2 linked regions of the Arabidopsis thaliana genome follow. The protein of the gene in region 1 interacts with the protein of each later gene in a pairwise test. Each region holds a gene or a part of one and is shown on either strand. Other genes may lie near its edges.

Region 1 (6,490 bases):
TGTTTTGGAAATCAAATCATTAAGATAGTATAGTTGTTAATTAAATTTATTAGTTTTGACCTAGAATTTGCAAACGCATGCATGCATGTCCCTAGTAGCGCTTAATCATTTTTTCATCACTTGGCTAATTTTATGAAATTAAGTTCTATCGTTGCACCGGATCCAAGAAAAAAGTTTGGGTATTACAATCATCAAAACTCATGAAAGTTTGTATTTAGTGATCCCAAAACACTCATTATTTCATTTATAAATATAGCTATATAGAATTAAAAATAGATTTGCATTGTCGAGCTTGGTCACTACCAAAAAACCGTACCCTTAAACTCTACATTACTCGACTTCATTTGTAATAATTAATATGTCTGAATTTTCAATGGACCTGGCCTATACTTAATTATATTTGGCTCTATAAGCTTATAATTCAAATCAAAAGTTATTCTTACTTTACATAAGAATAATTAAATTGTTAACTATATTGTTGGTGTATAATTACTTAATTAGGACCCATGAGGTTGCAATTTGTTTTAAGTTTTTTTTTTGGTTCAAAGTCATTATCATATTGCACGTTTGACCTTGGTTTTTGGTTATATATTTCTATAAAACGATCGGGAATACTATAATTATTCGAGTATAGATTAACTAGAATATGACACAAACATTGAGACAAATTATAAAATAGGATGAAATTTTCCTCTCGTGATCGGGAAAATTGGGTACAAATTACAATAACATAATGGCCATATGAATTAAAAGACCCATGAACATGCACATGCTCTTGTTCCCTACCCCTCTCATGGGTCCTGAATTTGATAAATTCCTCCCACAAAATTAGAGCGCAAAAGAGGTCAAATTATACTATTTGGAGGCATCAACGACTTACATAATTTATATGAGATTATTAATCTATAATATGAATACAATATATATATCTAATGATCCATCATCCATCCACCAGTAAGAACCATCAATAACTCGCAAGTCGTAACAAATTGTAAGTGAGTAACAAACATCCGAATATTAAAACTTTTATATCCTCTTTTGTAACTGTATCTTACTCACTTTTTTTTTAATAATGAAAACAAATTATATTGATTTCAACATATTTTTGAAATGATGACTAAATTAATCTTGTAAAGCCGCTACACATATAATCATCAGTTAGTTTAAAATATGACAGATTACGGACCACATGTCCCAAAAAATTAGGATACACAATTTATGATGAAATGACAACAAACCAACTTTAAATTCTACTTCTTATTTTTTTTGTGGGTTGTAGGATATGTTCAATTGTTCATTAAAGACTTCATCTAAAAGTCAATACATAATCAGAGTTTTTAAAACTAAAAAACGCTAGTAATGGTTAGAGAGTAGAATTAAAAAGCTAAGATTTTATTGGTAAAATAGTAAACATAACAACGAATTATTCATTTTGGGAAAAAACTATTAGATAACACACACAAGAAACGACAAGTAGCAGAGTAGGGATCAAAACACATGTACATGTACACACACCTACATACACACATTTATATGTATGCACATATCAAGTTGTGATTGATCATCAAACCGACAGACACATGTTGGGCAATAAATATGACACAAACACAGAGATATTGAAGTTTCCTCTCTTTTGGTCACATTACAAGTTTGTCCACATCTTACTGGTAAAATACTGCCCTATATACCCATCAAGTATTTAAAATTACAACACACATATATAGGTGATAGCCACATACAATCATAAAAATACATATAAAATCAAGAACCCGTCATATTGTTGATCATTGATGCTTCTTTTTTTTTATTATTAATTCAAGATCTGTTCTTGCAGTACTTCTCCATTGCTCTCGGAGCTATAACCAAGAAAACAGAATTATATTAAAATAAAAAGAAAATTGGTAAAAATTGAAAAACAAAAAAAAAAAAAAAAAGTTAGAGATGTACCAAGTCCAACTGCTTCAGATCCCTTCATAATGCGCAAACGTTTGCAAGACTCGACAAACATTCTGAAATAGGTATTCAAGTTTACGGTTAGAACATTAGAATATGAGTCGTTAACATTTAAAGTTTATTCTAAGGTTTTTGGCAATAATATGATGATGTGCCAGCTACGAATGAGCTCTAAACATATCGATACTATTGTATAATTTTTGAAAGATCCTCTTGTCTCTTGCCAACCAATGCATGGTTGTACGTATTTATAACACATGGATGTTGAATATCTTTGGCTTTGTCTCTACCAATTTCGGGAAATGTGGTTAACGAGTCAAGTTATAAGTTATAAAAAAAAGTATATGAAACGATTAAATTTGACTCACTCCCATGGGACATCGCCAACGAGCATCCAGTCACCATCTTTGTCCTCGTAGCTTGGCACATACTCAGAGCTATTCAGCAGATTCATTAGCTTGCTCTCGTTCATGAAATCTATCATTCCTTGTGCTCCATAGTTTCCTTGAAGATATTCAAGACATTCAAAAATCATATAAATTTATGTGTCATTATTGTGTAATATATATAATACATATTTAAGTTGTATACATTTAGCAAAATCTCATCTTGTTAATATGTATAGGGTTCGAATGTATAGTTCTATGACTCTAACTCGGTAAGGTTCATGAGTTTTGTATGAATAAATGTAGTAAATGATATACTTTAATATACGAATATAGTTTTTTCACACTTTCCGATTTGAAATTTCTAATACGTACCCATAGTAAAGGAGCTGAACATTTTGGCCAATGCATCAGAAAGATCCTGGTAGCTTTTGTACATCTTGAGGTCAACTTTCCTCAGATATGGAGCACCGTCCATGGAGACCTTCACCAAGCCGGCTCCGGCTGCTCCTCCACCAAAGTTCCCGGCCTTCTCACTGCTGGCCTCCTCCGCACCACTACTGGTCTTCTGCTGAGTCATCATGTTCTTCCTGTAGTTCCTCACAGGTGGCCATCCCACCACTTGTGCTCTACATAGAACAACATTATTTAGATAGGTGTATATCAACCAATGTAATTATTAGTTACCATTACTGCCTTTATGGGCTTGATTGTAAGTTATAACATGTATTATTTCATGTTTGCTTGTACGCATGTATGTATTGGTGTTTAAGTTTCAACCACGCTTTAATTATTATTATATTATTTCTTAGTATTATATTGATAGAAAACAAATATAACTTCAAAGAATCAAAGTTATGCATATAAATTTTAACAAAAAAAGGTAATGTATATGGGAAGTATATATATATATATATATATATATATATATATATATATAACTAACATTACAAATTTCAAGAATTTTTAGTTTATTCATATGTTTATGTAAATCCCTCACAATATTTATGTTCTGCGAGGACATATAACTATGAAATTTATATATATTCGAATATTCTAAGAACTTAGACATAGATGTGTATAAACACGTATATATGTATATATATGGACTGGAAAAAACTAAGAACTTTTTAACCAAAAAAAAAAAAAATCTAAGAATATATATATATGTAAATGTGTAGCTTACTTAGCAGGAGGCTTAGAAGGATCTTTAAGGGTAGTCTTCTCCTTGGGAACAGCAGAAACGTTTTTGAGATCAACGGAGCCTTCTTTGTTAGATTGAAGATTGAGCATGAGATCAACGGTTTCGGAGAAGCCTCTCTTGCTTCCCACCGCCGATTTGGCAGGACTCTCAACTGCTTCAGCGCCGCCGGGGAGGCCGAGACAGAGCTCCGTGGCCTTGAGGTTCATAAGTTGGCCGATCATGTTACTTGTAATAGATTAGAAATATTGTTTCTCTCTCTGAAAAGGTAAGAGGGGAAGAAGAAAGGAGAGGAAGGGGCAATAATAATATAAGGAGGGAGGATGGTGGTGGGGTGTATGTATTCGTGTAATTGCATGTGCATGTCTTTTGCTCTTTTTTCTTCATTGGTGGGGTTTATGACACGTGGGCTTGATTAGATGTTAGTTAATCATTTCTTCTCTGTTACTACAAAATTAAGCTAAGATAATTTTGTTTTGTTAATCTTCCATCTAGAAAGTTTTGAATGGTGACCGGGAAATTATGTTTTAATTAACTACGAGGATCAGGTCACATATTGATCATGATATGTAATGTAATTATTGTAGAACCGCGAAAATCCGGAGAGAAAACTTTGAAAACGATTACAAAGATTCCAAAAATATGATCATTCTTATTTTTGTGACAAACTTCACTGAAAAACTCGCCGAAAAGTTAGCCGGAAATACTTTGTAAAATTGAAGTTCCAACAGTTACGTGGTAGTGATGTTTTGTGATACTATCCGAATTCAAATAGTATGTATGAAGTCAAGTTATTCTTGACAATATATATATATACATATATGATATATTTTATAAAAGACTTTGGTATGATAATAAAAAGATGGGACATATTTCTCATATCTTACCAATTTGAAGAAAGAGATGATCTATGAGAATATTGAGAGCAACATATCTCTTACATAACCAAGTCATCTTGCTCCAATAGTAAAAGAGTGAAAAAATTTGCCACTTGAGTTCATGTAATATTGGCCATCATGGTTCGAATTCTAACATTAGTTTTTCCGAATCTCATAATTGGTGTTTGGATCTAAAAGTATTTTAGCATCATCTTTGTTATCAAAAAATAAAAAAAAAGACATATATATCTCTCACATCTTACCAAAATTTACATGTAATGTTTGCTTGACTTTTCGTATCTAATAGTCGGACTAAACCAATATGGGTCTTTTGACTCTGACGTAGTACTTATCATCGACAAATTTTCCTAAATAGCACATTAGATCACATATATTGGTTGTATAATTGTGTTCAGCATTTTTACTTAGAAATATATACAAACAAACTACAAAAAGTTTTGTTTGTTCTTCTCGTACGGTTCTGACATTTTTTTTAAATTTATTTGGTTCTGACATTAAACATACATTATAGTTCATAGTGAGCTACATCGTCTATTCTGGAGTTTCAGGATGTAGTTTGTTTATAAATTTGTAATGGTTGGGTTAGGTCATGTAGTTTTAAACATATTTCAGCTGGTTCTACCACTCTGTGTAGCTTTAGTATTTTAGCATTTGTACTATGACTCTATGAGTCAATACAAAGCTAGCATATAACTAGGTAGTATATAATACTTATATAGTATGAAACGAATTCAGATTGTTTGTTAAAGAAGAAAAGAATAAGTTCTCACAACATGTCTATATATAAACTATGAATGTATTAATTACTTCTATGTTTTGTTAATAGCCTATTTGTTACACTTTGTCTCCTCTGGTCAACTGTTCATCGCATATAAAGCAAGTGGAATTGGGCGGTGAAATTCCGTTAACCAAATTTGGTCAACATTCTAATTAGTTTGTGTCAAGCAATACAACTATACAAGTCACGTATATTATTTTAATTGTTTACGGTCTCCCGTTTTCTCTGTATCATCTTGGTTATTAAATGTGTCTTACTAAAAAATTAAAAATAAAAGAATAGTACTACTCATTAATAAGCATAGACATTTGTGGTATATAAACAGAGAATCTATTAATTGGTCTAGGTACATGTTCTTAGTGAGGACACTGAGTGAAGACTGACATCGATTTTCTTCTTCCCAACATAAAAAATGAACTTAATGCTTCTTTGTAATGTGAAAAGACTTGTAATTTTTACAGATGAAATCAAGGGCCATTGCATCATGGCTGACGAGACTGAGGAAAGTTCCTGTATTTTTACACTTAATTTTGTGATCCGTTTTGATCAAAAAAAAAAATTGTGATCCGTTTTATATATACATTTGATGCGCAACCAATCGAGTGAAAATATGTGAAATTATGTAGTTTTCTTAAGAATCGAGGCTTTTGAAACTTAAATATTTATGATTAGTTCTATTTTGCTAAACGAACCGAAACGAATATCAAAATTAAAACACAGGGAACATATAATTTGTCTAATCCTACTAATTAGCAGTGTAGTCGCTAACGTTTTACAGTAAGTGGGACGTGGTTTTATGAACTCAAACTGTAGTTACACGTGCACATACACATATTGTAGAAACTTGGATTTTGCTAACGAAGGAGATAATTGTACCTTTCATAAAATTACGTATTTTTTATACAAAAGAGTTATATGTCATTTGGGGGGAAAACAATGATTATGGGAAAAAGCCTCATTATTGAAAACATCTGGAATTCTTCTAACCACCATAAAATTAGACGAAACATCTTTTCGTGAATTAGTGTCATATTCTTTCACGAGTGGCCGTAATCCTATGAATTGAAAGCCCACCACTGATTTTTTATCCGGTTCAACCGGCAAGATTGACATGTTTTTAGCTATATTTGCCTTTAGTGATTAGAGTGTTATGAGTTCTTGACATTCTATTAATCAAGTGTTTGATTTGAAATCTAAATTAACTAAACAAAAAATAGACACCATATTAATATCATAGTTCCCAACCGTCACTACGATTACGAACAGACTGCAC
Region 2 (9,628 bases), on another chromosome or scaffold:
TTGAGTCTCTACAGTAGCTGCCAAAGTTAAGAATTTGGTTGTTCTCTTAATCTGATCATATTATGTTTTAAATATTTTTTAGTTACCAGCCATAAGTTATATAGATAAATAATATCGTAGTAAAGATTCTAACTAATTGGGAATTTCGTTAAATTACGAGTTACAACTTTATGAATCCTCATGTACATGTGTGCTCGCCTGCTCGGTCTTAGCAAAAATTAATATGCGAAGCCAATTAAATGTACTGATGAGTCTGTTTGGGCTAGATTCATCCGTATCTGGGTTAATTATTGGATTGAGCAAATAAACAAATGTAAAACCAAGTTGTAAACACAGTAAACGTTAACCAGTTTTTTTTCTTTTTTTTTTTTTTTTTTTTTTTTTTTGCTGACTAGATCATGAATTCGGTTGTAGTATGCAAAATAGAAATGAAAAATGTGAATAATCAAGGGTAAAGTGAAATTTCTCCCCACAAGTTGTGTAACAACAACTATATCGATTAACGAGTCAAAAATTAAATTACCACATGAAAAATGTCAAAGTTAATTAGGAACTTTTTTTTCATTGAACCAATTAATTTTTGATGAAATTTATGGTTTATTAATCTGACACAACACTGTATAAAAGATTTTTTTTGTTAAAAGTTAAGAAAGAAGAATGTTGAGAGAACCATCAATGTTAAACCAATAGATGATAGTCAAGATTCATAGTATAAAAATTTACCACATTGGTTGAGAGATCAATTCCTTTCACCATAATGTCAATCATAATTAGCCGCTAGAAACGTTTTCTATGTCAAAAATACACAGCTTTTTCATATTGATTTTGGTTCAGAATTTCATGGTTTTATACCTTGTTTGATAACGTCATTAGAACATATGTACTTTTGTACTACTGAAACATTAAACTAGTGTGCAAAACAAGATTTTAAGATAGTCTAAATTCCAGTTAACAGAAAAATAAAAAATATTGTTGGTTGGGAAATAGTAGAACAAACGAGAGAGAGAGTGTGTGTGGTTACGATGAGGAGAAGAGACATAGAGGCATACACTCACTTAAAAGCAAAACCATTTTGGCTAAACCGAAAGACTCGGTCGGAGTCTAGAGCCTGTCTCTCCCGACATCCTCTGCCACACCTCACGTGCATGCTGCACCCACACTCACGTGCACATACATTTTTCTTGTGTTTTAGTTATTTTAGTAAAAACGATATATTTATTGACTCTTTCTGTAATGGTGGTAGAAATTGAGGAATTCACAAAAGTCCCAAGTTTTTGTTATATATGGTGCATGCGTATGTATTTGAGGAAACTTTTGCAGGATGCGTGGATCAAATCCAATTATAATTTAATTTTATATAGATATAAAAGTCAATAGTGGGAGGTGAAAAAAATATCAACAATGATTGAGTGTTACTACTACTAGAATGGTTAATTCGTTTTGATGAGGAGTGATTTCTAAACACATCAATTGTTGTACGTACATATACTCTCCACGCGCAGCAAATATTGACCCAAAAAGGCATAAAAAACACTAAAGCATGCCAACTTTTTATTCTTGTTGAGATTTACTTTGTCGTCCCATATCTTTTCAAATTTTGATCCTCTATAATATATGTTTAAACCTAACTTATCAAACTTTACATTCCTTTTTCTTTTGCTCACTAGGTAAGGCTCTTGAGATCGCTTCACCTCATCTCTTGTTTAACATTTATAAACATGTAGCTGTCTGGTTAATCAATTTACATGTGGTAAATTATAAATTACTCTAGAAAGAGATGTATATTAAACTGCTAAGTTCATGGCTAATCTTCGGTATTTCTTGTTTAACCGCGATAAGTTGAACATATATTAATGAGCTCTTATGGTTTTTGTTTAATGTCCATTTGGAGGTGTGATCATCTCATATGTTCTCACCAAAAGATTACCACTTGAATTCTTTTACATGTGAAATGTTTTAATTTATTAACCCTCTTCTGTTTTGATCAAAACATAAACTATATATTTGAATCTTTTATATATAATTCATATTAATTAAATAACATCATGTTTTCAATGAATGTATTGACATGATATCAATGAAGAATATTTACTTTGGAAAGAGTCAGAGTTGTTCTCGAAAGATATTTAAATGTTCCAAATTATTTCCGTTTGTCTAAACATAGAAAATCCCTAATTACATATAAATCAACAAAAAGGTAATAATTAGGTCAAAACCTCCCCCACTAAATACATGTATACTGAGATTCAGAAATACAATACTATTATAGTATATGTTAATTGAAAGCAAAATTCATAAGAAAGATCGGCGTTGAAAGGAAAAAGGCTCTACAACTACATTTTATATGCATACGTAGAGAGCTGAAAGTAAGGAACAACTCTACTCCGGTCCAGATTAATTGTAAAGAACTTTATACATTAATTAAAACAAAAACGAACACTTTATACTATTGATTAAAAAAAGAAGAAGATGAATAAAATAATTGCCTGAAAAATTAATAATTACACATGAAGGCTTAGCTTTAATTGGAGTATAATGATGTCCGTAGCTCTGTAAACATGTGAAGTTCTCCTCCTTTTGCGGCTAGTGGGTGCTCCATTGCGTATCAAAAGGAATATTATTCTAATCATAATTAAGTCATTAAATTACTAGTAGTGTTTTTTTTTTTCTCGCATTATACGGACATGTCTCAATTTGGACCAATCCATATAAATGAATAAACTTATTAGCTACTACTATATTATAACAGAAAATATGTATATAAAAGAAAAAAAGTGGGACATCTTTTCTGGTAACCAAGAGTTTACAACTTTGGATTAGAAAATATTTAAGTCCCCATTTGGCTTGCAATTTTCGGTCCGCCGAACCTAATCCTTAGGTTTTTCTCAATATATCCGGGTTTATGGTATAACCTCATTCATAAGAAAATCCGTATTACTAAAGTAAAAAATTAAAAATATGGTTATAAAAACGAGGGAAAGTTAACAGATTTTAAAACCATGGACTGTTTTTCCAACAACAGTAAATTATAATCGGAAAAGATAAAAATAAAAAGAAATAAAAAAGGTGGGACCGACAAGAAGAAGACATCAAGTGGGGTGCCACGTCAGAAGGCATAAGAAAAGATTTCATCTTTCCGCATGTATCCGATCCCAATCGGCTTAAATCTCAATATCGATTATTGTTTTTATTTTTTTGAAAAAACACTTGAGAATCTGCAGAAACACGAGAAAAAAAAGAAAAGTTTCAAAGCTTTTTAAGAGCTTAAAAATTTGCTTTGAAGCTTCAAATATTCTTATGAACTAAAAAGAAGAAAAAAGCTTTTGTTTCTTTTTCCTTAGCAGCAGAATGATTTTTGTTTCCAAAATTATTACTATTTAGTTTCTCTCGTGCTCTTCTCTTGAGCAAATACAGATTCGTTAATTTTGCTGAAGAAGAAGAACTCTGTTTCTTCCCTGCACCAAACCAATTTTTTCGTTCTTTCTATAAACCATGAAAGCTCCATCAAATGGATTTCTTCCAAGTTCCAACGAAGGTACACAAGCTTTATATTTATCTTCTTCTTTTCCAGATTTTATACTATTCAATTTCTTCATCAAGGAGTTTCTGCATTTCATGTTTGTGATTTTCTCATTGAAAAAATGAATTTTGTTATTCAATTTCAACTTTGGAGTCAGCACAAAGTCACAAATCGAGTTCTTCTATCACTTTATTTAATAAAGTGGTTGAAACATAAATGCCGCTCATAAAATTTCCAGACTTTAAATGAAACTATGCAAAAATTCTATCACTTTTAACAGATTTGAATATGTGTGTGATGATGATGAACAGGAGAGAAGAAGCCAATCAATTCTCAACTATGGCACGCTTGTGCAGGGCCTTTAGTTTCATTACCTCCTGTGGGAAGTCTTGTGGTTTACTTCCCTCAAGGACACAGCGAGCAAGTAAGTTCATTGCGTTTCAAACTATTTTGAAACCTTTGGTAGCAATCTAAGTAATATGTTCAATGAAACCTTTTTTCAGGTTGCAGCATCGATGCAGAAGCAAACAGATTTTATACCAAATTACCCAAATCTTCCTTCTAAGCTGATTTGCTTGCTTCACAGTGTTACATTACATGTAAGTCTCTTCTGACTCCAACTTGTGAATCAACAAGAAGATGAACTAATCAGGACTTTTGTGAAATTCTGAATCAGGCTGATACCGAAACAGATGAAGTCTATGCACAAATGACTCTTCAACCTGTGAATAAGGTCTGAATTATATCATTCTTCTTGTGCTATCTTGGTTTAAAGTTGAGGACTTTAATGCTGATCTTTGCTCAAAATGTGTGACAGTATGATAGAGAAGCATTGCTAGCTTCTGATATGGGCTTGAAGCTAAACAGACAACCTACTGAGTTTTTTTGCAAGACTCTTACTGCAAGTGACACAAGCACTCATGGTGGATTCTCTGTACCGCGTCGTGCAGCTGAGAAAATATTCCCTCCTCTTGTATGTCTCTCTGATCAAAGCTACTCTCAGTTTCTTTTGCTTCAAACTTTTGAATCTGTTTTGCTAAAAGTTCTAAGGGTGCTTAAAATAGGATTTCTCGATGCAACCGCCTGCGCAAGAGATTGTAGCTAAAGATTTACATGATACTACATGGACTTTCAGACATATCTATCGAGGTTTGAATCATCTAAAGTTTGTTTTATTAGTCTAAAAGATTGAAAACTTCAACCTGATTTGTTTTCTTTGATGTAATCTGATCTCAGGCCAACCAAAAAGACACTTGCTTACCACAGGTTGGAGCGTTTTTGTTAGCACAAAGAGACTATTTGCGGGTGATTCAGTTTTGTTTGTAAGGTATGAGTCATACTTTGATCAAAACATTAAGCAGAATTGGACTTTCATCTTCTCATAAGGGTACTTGGGTTTGCAGAGATGAGAAATCACAGCTGATGTTGGGTATAAGACGTGCAAATAGACAAACTCCGACTCTTTCCTCATCGGTCATATCCAGCGACAGTATGCACATTGGGATACTTGCAGCTGCAGCTCATGCTAATGCCAATAGTAGCCCTTTTACCATCTTCTTCAATCCAAGGGCAAGTCCTTCAGAGTTTGTAGTTCCTTTAGCCAAATACAACAAAGCCTTATACGCTCAAGTATCTCTAGGAATGAGATTCCGGATGATGTTTGAGACTGAGGATTGTGGGGTTCGTAGATATATGGGTACAGTCACAGGTATTAGTGATCTTGACCCTGTAAGATGGAAAGGCTCACAATGGCGTAATCTTCAGGTAATGACATATCCGAGTTATGCTAAACTGTTTATGATGGTCATTTCTTCTGAATCTTTTGTTCATGGTTTAAACAGGTAGGATGGGATGAATCAACAGCTGGAGATAGGCCAAGCCGAGTATCCATATGGGAAATCGAACCCGTCATAACTCCTTTTTACATATGTCCTCCTCCATTTTTCAGACCTAAGTACCCGAGGCAACCCGGGATGCCAGGTGAGTTTACTGCTTTCGTTCATTTTTTTCCCATAGATCTTTGACTGAGTTTCCGGATACTAACCTTGGTGGTTTGTTGCAGATGATGAGTTAGACATGGAAAATGCTTTCAAAAGAGCAATGCCTTGGATGGGAGAAGACTTTGGGATGAAGGACGCACAGAGTTCGATGTTCCCTGGTTTAAGTCTAGTTCAATGGATGAGTATGCAGCAAAACAATCCATTGTCAGGTTCTGCTACTCCTCAGCTCCCGTCCGCGCTCTCATCTTTTAACCTACCAAACAATTTTGCTTCCAACGACCCTTCCAAGCTGTTGAACTTCCAATCCCCAAACCTCTCTTCCGCAAATTCCCAATTCAACAAACCGAACACGGTTAACCATATCAGCCAACAGATGCAAGCACAACCAGCCATGGTGAAATCTCAACAACAACAACAACAACAACAACAACAACACCAACACCAACAACAACAACTGCAACAACAACAACAACTACAGATGTCACAGCAACAGGTGCAGCAACAAGGGATTTATAACAATGGTACGATTGCTGTTGCTAACCAAGTCTCTTGTCAAAGTCCAAACCAACCTACTGGATTCTCTCAGTCTCAGCTTCAGCAGCAGTCAATGCTCCCTACTGGTGCTAAAATGACACACCAGAACATAAATTCTATGGGGAATAAAGGCTTGTCTCAAATGACATCGTTTGCGCAAGAAATGCAGTTTCAGCAGCAACTGGAAATGCATAACAGTAGCCAGTTATTAAGAAACCAGCAAGAACAGTCCTCTCTCCATTCATTACAACAAAATCTGTCCCAAAATCCTCAGCAACTCCAAATGCAACAACAATCATCAAAACCAAGTCCTTCACAACAGCTTCAGTTGCAGCTACTGCAGAAGCTACAGCAGCAGCAACAGCAGCAGTCGATTCCTCCAGTAAGCTCATCCTTACAGCCACAATTATCAGCGTTGCAGCAGACACAAAGCCATCAATTGCAACAACTTCTGTCGTCTCAAAATCAACAGCCCTTGGCACATGGTAATAACAGCTTCCCAGCTTCAACTTTCATGCAGCCTCCACAGATTCAGGTGAGTCCTCAGCAGCAAGGACAGATGAGTAACAAAAATCTTGTAGCCGCTGGAAGATCACATTCTGGCCACACAGATGGAGAAGCTCCTTCTTGTTCAACCTCACCTTCCGCCAATAACACGGGACATGATAATGTTTCACCGACAAATTTCCTGAGCAGAAATCAACAGCAAGGACAAGCTGCATCTGTATCTGCATCTGATTCAGTCTTTGAGCGCGCAAGCAATCCGGTCCAAGAGCTTTATACAAAAACTGAGAGCCGGATCAGTCAAGGCATGATGAATATGAAGAGTGCTGGTGAACATTTCAGATTTAAAAGCGCGGTAACAGATCAAATCGATGTATCCACAGCGGGAACGACGTACTGTCCTGATGTTGTTGGCCCTGTACAGCAGCAACAAACTTTCCCACTACCATCATTTGGTTTTGATGGAGACTGCCAATCTCATCATCCAAGAAACAACTTAGCTTTCCCTGGTAATCTCGAAGCCGTAACTTCTGATCCACTCTATTCTCAAAAGGACTTTCAAAACTTGGTTCCCAACTATGGCAACACACCAAGAGACATTGAGACGGAGCTGTCCAGTGCTGCAATCAGTTCTCAGTCATTTGGTATTCCCAGCATTCCCTTTAAGCCCGGATGTTCAAATGAGGTTGGCGGCATCAATGATTCAGGAATCATGAATGGTGGAGGACTGTGGCCCAATCAGACTCAACGAATGCGAACATATACAAAGGTTAGAGATCTTTCTCTCCCTTTCCATAGCTCTAATCTTTTGCTTCTTAATTTTCGAATGCTAAATGCCGAAAGTTGTTAAATCATTGAAGGTTCAAAAACGAGGGTCAGTAGGTAGATCAATAGATGTTACCCGTTATAGCGGCTATGATGAACTTAGGCATGACTTAGCGAGAATGTTTGGCATCGAAGGACAGCTCGAAGATCCGCTAACCTCTGATTGGAAACTCGTCTACACCGATCACGAAAACGATATTTTACTAGTTGGTGATGATCCTTGGGAGTACGTTCCAGACCTGAAAAATCTATCTGTAACAGTCAAGATTGAACAATTCTGATAATTCTTGTCTGTTTGTTTTTTCCACAGAGAGTTTGTGAACTGCGTGCAGAACATAAAGATACTATCATCAGTAGAAGTTCAGCAAATGAGCTTAGACGGAGATCTTGCAGCTATCCCAACCACAAACCAAGCCTGCAGCGAAACAGACAGCGGAAATGCTTGGAAAGTACACTATGAAGACACTTCTGCTGCAGCTTCTTTCAACAGATAGAAATAAAAAGATGCAAATATACCAAGTCAACTTACATTATCATTCGAGGCCATCGCAAAGTACATGTTTTTTTTTGTGTGTATGTACTGCAAACAACAAACTGAGAAGAAGAAGATACTGCACGGTATATAAACATTTTTATAGGACAGTGATTTGATTTTTCATTCTAACTTGATGTTGTTGTACTTTCTTGTTTCCATATTTGTATAACAAGTATAATGCTTGACAAGTCTATGAGGAGCATATCTTATACAGAGATACTAAGATGTAATGTTAATGTAACTAAACAATTACCTTCATTAATCATGAATCTTTGGTCGTTTCTTCTTCTTCTCTTCAGTGCCTCCTAAGAATCAGGGATCATTTCAGATTCTTTTATACCAGTATCCTCTAGACGCAGCGAAATATTCAACATTTCAACGTTTGAAAACGAAAAGAGAGGAGTTAAAGAAAGAATCACGTGAAAAACAAGGACAAGGACAAGAAAACCAAACAGTCTCTGAGATTTCCCGTGTGAGTTGTGACCCACACACATTAAGACTCAAGCTTCTAGTAACATCCGCCACGTGTCCATTCCCCTGACACTTTGCGGCGTTTTAAGTACAAACGCGCTCCCTTTGACCTTTGAAGCTGACCTTCTTTCTTCTTCACGCGCCATAAAAAGTCAAAAACTCACTCTTCACTCTTTTATTTCACTCGTATAAATAAATTTCTGAAGCGCCAAATACAATTATCTCAATTCAAATCAACACTAACACTGAAGAACAGAGCTCACTGAAAAAACTTAACAGAACAAAATTAAACCGGAAAACAGAGAAATCATACCGGGTTGGTTCAATCGCGTCTTTGTTTGGTTTAATCGTGATGGAAGGGTCGTCTTCTTCGATGCAGTCAAAGTACAAAGGAGTGAGGAAGAGGAAATGGGGAAAATGGGTTTCAGAGATCAGACTTCCCAACAGCAGAGAACGTATTTGGTTGGGCTCTTACGATACTCCTGAGAAGGCGGCGCGTGCTTTCGACGCGGCTCTTTATTGTCTCCGTGGCAACAACGCAAAGTTCAATTTCCCTGATAATCCTCCGGTGATCTCCGGCGGACGTAACTTGTCGCGATCTGAGATAAGAGAAGCTGCTGCGAGGTTCGCTAATTCGGCGGAGGATGATTCAAGTGGCGGAGCAGGATACGAGATACGGCAAGAATCTGCTTCAACATCGATGGACGTTGATTCGGAGTTTTTGAGTATGCTTCCGACGGTTGGTTCGGGTAACTTCGCTTCGGAGTTTGGGTTATTCCCTGGGTTTGATGATTTCTCCGATGAATACTCCGGTGATCGTTTCAGAGAGCAGCTTTCGCCTACACAAGATTATTATCAGCTTGGAGAAGAGACTTACGCCGATGGTTCCATGTTTCTTTGGAATTTTTGAATTCCATTATTCACAATCTGAAAATTTTGACTTGGGTTTTTTATTTTTTTTTGTAGTTCTTTACCCAATTTTTTTTTGATCATTGGGATAAAGAGTTATTCATTCACTATTTTTTTCCCACGTGTTAGATTTTTCAGATGGGAAAAGGCCAAACTTAATAAAACAATTATATTTGGATCTTCTGACGTCATTTGATCATATTATCATGATATCATCCACTCCAATCGCTTTCACTAGGCCCAATTACAAATCTTATTTTAACTGTACGATTAAGCCCAACAATAATACTTCAGGCCCATTAAAATCAATAAGGGTATTGTCTTATTAAA

What was found. Proteins that work in one complex are often made in the same cells at the same time.
Region 2: the proteins of IAA7 (region 1) and ARF19 interact in binary tests that used the Arabidopsis thaliana proteins (3 or more experiments, as listed by UniProt).

What each region holds. Positions count from the first base shown.
Region 1 is NC_003074.8:8,192,042-8,198,531, reverse strand, and holds IAA7 (indole-3-acetic acid 7), read right to left. Parts: upstream 3,927-6,490; 5' UTR 3,765-3,926; coding exon 3,526-3,764; intron 2,969-3,525; coding exon 2,715-2,968; coding exon of another isoform or gene 2,704-2,714; exon of another isoform or gene 2,458-2,703; coding exon 2,322-2,457; coding exon of another isoform or gene 2,318-2,321; exon of another isoform or gene 2,010-2,317; coding exon 1,948-2,009; intron 1,857-1,947; coding exon 1,816-1,856; 3' UTR 1,377-1,815; downstream 1-1,376.
Region 2 is NC_003070.9:6,626,644-6,636,271, reverse strand, and holds ARF19 (auxin response factor 19), read left to right. Parts: upstream 1-3,138; 5' UTR 3,139-3,492; coding exon 3,493-3,535; intron 3,536-3,831; coding exon 3,832-3,944; intron 3,945-4,023; coding exon 4,024-4,119; intron 4,120-4,196; coding exon 4,197-4,253; intron 4,254-4,337; coding exon 4,338-4,493; intron 4,494-4,584; coding exon 4,585-4,669; intron 4,670-4,756; coding exon 4,757-4,847; intron 4,848-4,923; coding exon 4,924-5,284; intron 5,285-5,361; coding exon 5,362-5,500; intron 5,501-5,582; coding exon 5,583-7,327; intron 7,328-7,418; coding exon 7,419-7,609; intron 7,610-7,693; coding exon 7,694-7,877; 3' UTR 7,878-8,589; downstream 8,590-9,628. Other genes in the region: AT1G19210 (Integrase-type DNA-binding superfamily protein), read left to right, coding at 8,742-9,299. UniProt on the Arabidopsis thaliana protein: Auxin response factors (ARFs) are transcriptional factors that bind specifically to the DNA sequence 5'-TGTCTC-3' found in the auxin-responsive promoter elements (AuxREs). Could act as transcriptional activator or repressor.